2 linked regions of the Schizosaccharomyces pombe genome follow. The protein of the gene in region 1 interacts with the protein of each later gene in a biochemical or structural test. Each region holds a gene or a part of one and is shown in the gene's direction. Other genes may lie near its edges.

What was found.
Region 2: the proteins of atg38 (region 1) and atg8 form a complex in vitro, tested with the Schizosaccharomyces pombe proteins (one study listed by BioGRID).

Annotation. Positions count from the first base shown.
Region 1 is NC_003423.3:207,494-211,737, forward strand, and holds atg38 (protein Atg38), read left to right. Parts: upstream 1-2,265; 5' UTR 2,266-2,308; coding exon 2,309-2,332; exon of another isoform or gene 2,333-2,428; coding exon 2,429-3,679; downstream 3,680-4,244. Other genes in the region: alpha,alpha-trehalase Ntp1, read left to right, coding at 1-1,792; protein mug168, read left to right, coding at 4,018-4,244. UniProt on the Schizosaccharomyces pombe protein: Functions as a part of the autophagy-specific VPS34 PI3-kinase complex I that plays a role in autophagosome assembly. This complex is essential to recruit the atg8-phosphatidylinositol conjugate and the atg12-atg5 conjugate to the pre-autophagosomal structure.
Region 2 is NC_003423.3:3,683,514-3,687,039, reverse strand, and holds atg8 (autophagy-associated protein Atg8), read left to right. Parts: upstream 1-1,669; 5' UTR 1,670-1,774; coding exon 1,775-1,808; exon of another isoform or gene 1,809-1,889; coding exon 1,890-1,945; exon of another isoform or gene 1,946-2,111; coding exon 2,112-2,387; 3' UTR 2,388-2,759; downstream 2,760-3,526. Other genes in the region: cyclophilin family peptidyl-prolyl cis-trans isomerase Cyp4, read right to left, coding at 441-583, 677-1,139; rnf10 (ubiquitin-protein ligase E3), read right to left, coding at 2,958-3,526. UniProt on the Schizosaccharomyces pombe protein: Ubiquitin-like modifier involved in autophagosome formation. With atg4, mediates the delivery of the autophagosomes to the vacuole via the microtubule cytoskeleton.

The DNA of each region.
Region 1 (4,244 bases):
TCAGGAATTGACCTTGGCAAAGGATTATGGACGTCGATATATTTTACTTGATGAGCGAAGACTTAATGAAAACCCTGTGAACCGACTTTCTAGACTCATCAAAGGTACCTTTTGGGATGCCCTTACTCGAAGAATCGATGCCAGTGTTTTGGATGTTATTTGCCGTGATACCAAAGACCGATCAGGATCACACGTGAATCGAATTTATGTTCCTAAAGCCGAACAAGAGATGTATGAATACTATGTTCGCGCTGCTAAGGAAAGGCCTTACTTGAATTTACAGGTCGAATATCTGCCGGAAGAGATTACTCCAGAATGGGTGAGAGATGTAAATGATAAGCCAGGGTTACTTGCACTTGCAATGGAAAAATACCAAGATGATGAAGGCAATACACATCTTCGAGGTGTGCCATTTGTCGTTCCTGGTGGCCGGTTTAATGAACTGTACGGCTGGGACTCTTACTTTGAATCACTGGGTTTGCTTGTTGACGATCGGGTTGACTTGGCGAAAGGTATGGTGGAGAATTTTATTTTTGAAATTACCTATTACGGTAAGATCTTGAATGCCAACCGCACTTATTATCTTCTTCGCTCCCAGCCTCCATTTTTGACCGATATGGCCCTTCGAGTTTATGAACGTATAAAAAACGAAGAAGGATCTTTAGACTTTTTGCATCGGGCCTTTTCTGCGACTATAAAAGAATATCACACTGTTTGGACTGCCACTCCACGACTGGATCCCAAAACTGGTCTTTCCCGCTATCGCCCTGGAGGACTCGGTATTCCTCCGGAAACTGAAGCTTCTCATTTTGAGCATTTGCTTCGTCCTTACATGGAGAAGTATCATATGACTCTTGAGGAGTTTACTCATGCATACAATTACCAACAAATTCATGAACCCGCGTTGGATGAGTATTTCGTGCACGACCGCGCAGTTCGCGAAAGCGGGCATGATACTACTTATCGGTTGGAAAAAGTTTGTGCTGACTTGGCCACCGTGGATCTGAACTCGTTGCTATACAAATATGAAACCGACATCTCACATGTGATTTTAGAATATTTCGATGACAAGTTTGTACTTCCAAACGGAACTATAGAAACTTCTGCCATTTGGGATCGTCGTGCTCGTGCTCGTCGTGCTGCAATGGAAAAGTATCTTTGGTCAGAAGCTGATTCGATGTGGTATGATTACAACACGAAGTTAGAAACGAAGAGTACTTATGAAAGTGCTACTGCTTTCTGGGCCTTGTGGGCCGGTGTGGCAACTCCCCGTCAAGCCGCAAAATTTGTTGATGTTAGTCTTCCCAAGTTTGAAGTTGCTGGAGGTATAGTTGCTGGTACAAAGAGAAGCTTGGGTAAAGTGGGTCTTGATAATCCCAGCCGTCAATGGGATTATCCTAATGGCTGGAGCCCTCAGCAGATTTTAGCTTGGTATGGATTGATTCGATACGGATATGAAGAGGAGACTCGTAGACTTGTATATCGTTGGCTATATACTATTACTAAATCGTTTGTTGATTTTAATGGTATTGTTGTTGAAAAATATGATTTGACCAGACCAGTTGATCCACATCGTGTTGAAGCTGAGTATGGTAATCAGGGTGTCAATATCAAAGGCGTTGCTCGCGAAGGTTTTGGATGGGTTAATGCCAGTTACGAAGTCGGCCTTACATTCTGTAATTCGCATATGCGTCGGGCTCTTGGTGCTTGTACGACTCCTGATGTTTTCTTTGCCGGCATCAAGGAAGAATCTCTTCCTGCTTTCGAAAACCTTTCCATTCATAAAAATTAAGTTATCGTTTGCTTGAAAAAAATAATCGACTTTGTCTACTTTTTTAGTTGCCTTTAGCTTTATTCTCTTATTATGTTATTTTGGTTATCGACCGGTTAAAACCCATTGTTATGTTACATGTTATACCTTCCATTAAATCCTTCTACTATGAAGGTTCTATTTGGCGAATATTCCCTTACGAAACAATAGTTAATTCTATTTAAATTTATGAGTAAAGCTTATCACCAGCGATATTATTACTTTTTTACTTAAAAGAAAGAAGTAGTAAATGAATTTTTTACCTTACGATTCAATTCTAATTTATAATTTCCATGATAGTACTGTTGTTGCAGTTTTAGTCCGAATATAACTCTAATGTTTAATTTGGTGTCTATCACTTTATTAGTTTTTTTTTTGAAGGAATTGTCTTCTAGAAACTTATTTTGAGTTAATGTACCGTATTATGTCGTTCACATTTGTAGACAACATAAGTTGGCCACTTCCTTACACAACAACAGTATATTATTAAAATGTGTTATGGTTCGATATTCATTAAGAAAGGTAAGAGATGCTTAAAGAGATAAGGATATGAGTAAATTTAGTGTTTGAAGTTCGTAATTATCGTTCGCTTTTGAATGTGAATGTTAACAAAATTAGGCGCATGAATACGCCCGAGATGGGGAAAATCAGGAAGTTTTGGGAGAAATTTCACAAGCAATTATGTATTATGGATTAGCAAAAAGTCAGTTTGAAAAGATATGTCAGAACACAGCTCAGCCTCTTATTAAAAGATGCGCAAATAACCAAATCGAAGAGTTGATGGTTCGTATACGCGAGTTACGAGAATCATTGCCAAACAAACAAACACCAATATCAATGTCAATGTCTACGAGATTATCACCTATGTATACTTCTTCATTAACTCCACGATTTACGTCCAATTCAATGGTTTTACCAGGTGATCATAATACTACTGTTCGACTAAAACCAAGCTTTCGTGAAGCTTTAATGGAAGATTCTGAGGACGATTTATATCAAATGTATTCTAAATTCGAAATGCAGGTTAAAAAGCTGTCAACCAACTATGGACTTGCAGTTGCTTTTTCCATCGTTCCCATGGATGATGATCAGCCATCACCAAGCATATTTAGCTCCGATGAGAGTTTTTTGATCGTAGAAGGTGATGATTTTTCTCTTGGTAACAGCGTTGAAGAAGATGCCAATGCAACAAGCAAAGAAGATCCTGCCTATCAGAATACGAACGAGCAGATTCAACCGCTATCGAATTTCGATATAAGTCAACAAGAATATTTAAATAATACAAGGATTCCATATGAAAACGAGGATTTACATTTACAACACATTACTCAAGGAACTACAGATGATAACAATGTATCCAAGTTTCTTATTCCTTCATACAATGATGCTAAGGAATTATCTGAAGAGGAGATGGGAAGAAGTCATAAAAGGGAAGAATCATTTAAAAGAGCATTTGGTCACGCATCAAGTAGCGAAAGTAGTATTGGAGAGATTACGGATTCTAGGGAGGATATTCAGTCAAACCGTCTTGTTAACGGCTCTTGGGAAAATAATGATTTTACTAAGGAAATAAACAATAACTTCCCTGATAGATCTGAAACGCCAACGCTCCAAACAATTGAAGCTCCGACCAAACTCATGAAATATACCAGACGCAAAAGTCTGTTTCGGTTTCCATTTTTTCGTTCAATATCTGGAAAGAAAAAAGAGGAGCCTATGGAGTCCGGAACTGATTCACTTGAATCATCTACGGCACAGATTACGGTCGATTCTCAATTGAAAATCAAACAGCTTGAAACACAAATCGCAACTTTACAAAAGCAACTGGAGCAATTTCAAACCAGTACTCTCGATCAAGATCTTCACTAAATGTCATTACTCGATTTACTTATTAATTCTTTAAAGAAACGGCAACTGATCGAAAATCAGTTTTCAAAGCAATACATTATGTTGTCTCTGCAAAATTCTGTATGTTTCGTTAAATTGTGCCTTAGTTTTCCTTTTGAAGAGAAATGCATGGGGAGGCAAAATTACGATGACATGGTCTGTGGCGAGCCATCCTTAATGGAATCAATACTTATTTTGGCTTAGATATGTTCTCTGCGCATACCATTATATTTGGGATTTTACTTTCTCTTTTTACCACCTGAAGTTCTGAAATAAATTTTTACGTGCTTCTATAACTGAATTCGACTACGAAAACTAGGATGAGGATGGATGGCTCTGATTTTGAAGATCGAAAAGTTAGTAAACCGAGCCCGGTATTACCTTTTGATGTTAGCAACATTGGTGATTTGAGTCAAGGGGTACACTCACCGTTGGGTATTTCGCATTTCGATTCCAAAAATCCAACGCCATTTGGCAGATCAACAAAAAATTCTGTTTATGAGTATGAAACAGTTACGCCATATTCAAGATTTAAAGTTGATAAGAA
Region 2 (3,526 bases), 3.5 Mb from region 1:
CGAAATTCCTTAAGTCCGCTTTTCTAAGAGCCCATAGGGTAAACAACTACACAACGTGCTAGTAATATCAGCCAGCTGATAGGAAAAAATAATGTCTTTGAGTTCTTTTTGATAAAACATAACAAAATAGTAAGCAGCTAATAAGCTTCGCGTTTGTTGTCAATACTTACTATCAGAATTGCAGCATTGCTATTACGCTTGCTAAATTGGATAATATACGTAGAGTTCTATATTCATTCAATTGAAAACTTGTTAAAATCGCATTCTTTATGCGTATATTAGTTATACAACTATGGCTGTCAGAAAATGCAAACAAACTACCACAAGAAGTGATCCTTCCAATGATAAACGTTTATGTTAACAGAATGTAAAATCATTGCTTTTCAAGTAAATCTTATAAACACTAGATGTTGATGACTTTCATAAATAGAAAGTAGGGATTACAATTCATCTGTTCCGTCATCTTCAACATTTTCTTGAGACAACTGCCCAGATTTGATAATTTTTACATCTTCAAGAGGCTTATCACGGTTGTCAGTCTCAGCTTTGGAAATTTTCTTGACAATATCGTAACCAGAAAGGACTGATAAAATTAGTATTAGCAAACAAAAAAAAGGAAAAAGAAAACAAATAGTCACTTTTATAAAACATATACAACTACAATATGAATTCTTACCTTCACCAAAAACAACATGGTGTCCATCTAACCAAGGTGTTTTAACTGTAGTAATGAAAAACTGAGATCCATTGGAATCGGGTCCAGCGTTAGCCATGCTAAGCAAACCGGGACGTTGGTGAGAAAGCTTAAAGTTTTCATCAGGAAAACGGCTGCCATAAATTGATTTTCCACCAGTACCATCACCCTTCGTAATATCACCACCTTGAATCATGAAATTGGGAATAACGCGATGGAAAATAGATCCTTCATATCCAAATCCCTTTTCTCCGGTGGCTAATGCGCGGAAATTTTCGGCTGTTTTGGGAACAGTTTTACCAAACAATCCAATGGTAACTCTTCCAAGGAACTCATCACCTTGTTGCAAGTCGAAATACACTGTGTCTGTAACTTTGGGGCCACGGTTGGCAGAGATAAGCCCAAAGAAAAGAGTAAAAAGTAAAGAGAAATAGAACAACTTCATTTTTGTTTTCACAAACTAAAAGCTTCGTTGTGTGGTAAAGGATAAATAAATAGTTATGGTGGGGTTTAATAGCAAGACTCGCTAGATTTTGGTTGCTGTAGCAACTTTTAGCACAATGTTAAGCAAATAATTCAAGAAGCGCTTATTTGTTTACATCAAACACTACTATTTTTCTAATGGTTTGATTATTTAATGAAAGATAGAAATAGTAATTATTTGCAAAATTCTATTTCCTAACCTTTTTTGGAAGGTATTTACGTGTTAAGCGTGCTATTATTTATTTACACAACGTCTTTATTTCCATTCTTGCTTTTCTTCCTAAAAGAGTTGTGACTTTTGTTGTACCAAGGATTGAGTATATACCAATTATGGCTATCATACTATAAAGAAGTAGTAAAAATTCCTTTTGATTGTGTACTGCTTAAGATTCGTAAAGTATTTATTTATTACGAAATAAGGTAACTTATCATAGTATCATAAGATTGCTTCATATCTCTGTATACGTTACCCAAGGGTACGCTTATTTATCCAAGACCGTATACCACATAACTCACGCACCGTTTACAAAGAACACCGAATTTTGAAGCAATTGAAGAGAGGAGTTACTACTTCAAGCAAGAAGTTTGAGAGTTCTCATGCGTTCTCAATTCAAGGACGACTTTTCTTTTGGTATGTGTCAAAAACTTATAGAAGTTGTTTTTTGGACAGCATTGTAGAATACCTGGAACTAGTAGGCTAATTAATAATCAGAGAAACGAAAAACAGAGTCTCAAAGAATCCGGGAAAAATATCCCGATCGAATACCTGTAAGTAGAGTCTGGTGGTCAAAGAGAACAGGTTTCAGAGCAAAATAGTGGTGAATTGAACAACACCCATTGTTTTTGTCATCAAAAGTGAATCCATTGTTACAAGTCTGACCTTTTTCTTTCAAAAATACAAATTACGTTTTAAACTTAACTGCTAACTTAACAGGTTATTTGCGAGAAAGTTGATAAATCTGATATTGCTGCAATAGATAAAAAGAAATATCTCGTTCCATCTGACCTTACAGTTGGTCAATTTGTATATGTTATTCGCAAACGGATAAAACTTTCTCCTGAGAAGGCCATCTTTATTTTCATTGATGAAATCTTGCCCCCGACAGCGGCCTTGATGTCAACGATATACGAAGAGCATAAAAGTGAGGACGGCTTTTTGTATATCACGTATTCAGGAGAAAATACATTTGGAACAGTGTTTCCTTTTTAGATCAACAATTTGCCTGTTTTAAGATGGCCCCGCCTTCTTTTAATTGTGATCAGCAAAATTGTTTGTGGACAATGGTTGAATGATTCTTTATGTTTTTTTTACTCTGCATTTCTAGCTTTTTAGCTTTCAAGTTTCTTTGCTTTTGCATTATGATTATTTTACGCGCGTCTTATACATATCATTCTCAGGTTAGCCACCACGATTTTAAGGATGTTTCAGATTTGTCTTACAATAGATGTGATGAACGCTTATGACTAGTTTGCTTTGACAACAAAGTTATTTTACCTTGTTAATTAATAAAAACCATCAATTAAAAAAATTGATTTTGATTTTCTAATAATATTAAAATGTTGATAAATAATAAGTAGATATATATCATCAGCTGATTCTATCCTTTTTTACATTAACTGGTTGTCATAATAGCGAATACTATTCACATGCCCCAAAAAATTGGTCAATCGTAAACTTTCATAATTCAAGCAACAAGTGTTATAACTATATTTCAAAATAAAGCCCACTCCTGCATTTCAAAAATTTCAGTAGCATTTCATCACTGAGAATGCTCCATCTTTATCGATGGGCGGCACCTGTTGATAATAAAACTAATTTCTTCTTTTTTTTGTTTTTTGAGTTTTTGGAAGGTGCAGATAATTGAGCAACTTTGTCCCAGTCAACTTTCCAACCATCAAGATCGTCTTGATCATCGGTGTCATTTTGAATATTGGCAAGAGCTCTTGTTCCCCAAACAGTCTTTGCAGTAGATAAGGTAGACTCATCTGTATTAACCTCATCGGTAGATTCAAATTGATGATGACTTCCCAATGTGGGGAATGCTTCAGCAGGGTCCTCATGCACTACGGTTTTTGGCACAGGTCTCTGCATATTTAACTCGGAGTATATCTGTTCCTCTGTATCACGTTCAGCCCGTTGTCGATACCTTTCTTCTCTCATTTCTTGAGCTTTACGTTGCTTGCGTCGTTTACTGATTTCTGATTTGAAGGTTAACAAGACTTCTTTGGGAATAATCTTAGACCAATCACACTCAATAAAGGCAACTTCACAGCCTTCAGGTAAATGAGCCATATATTTGAACCGCTGACGAAGCTCAGAATTCACTAAGTGACCGGATGATATTCTTT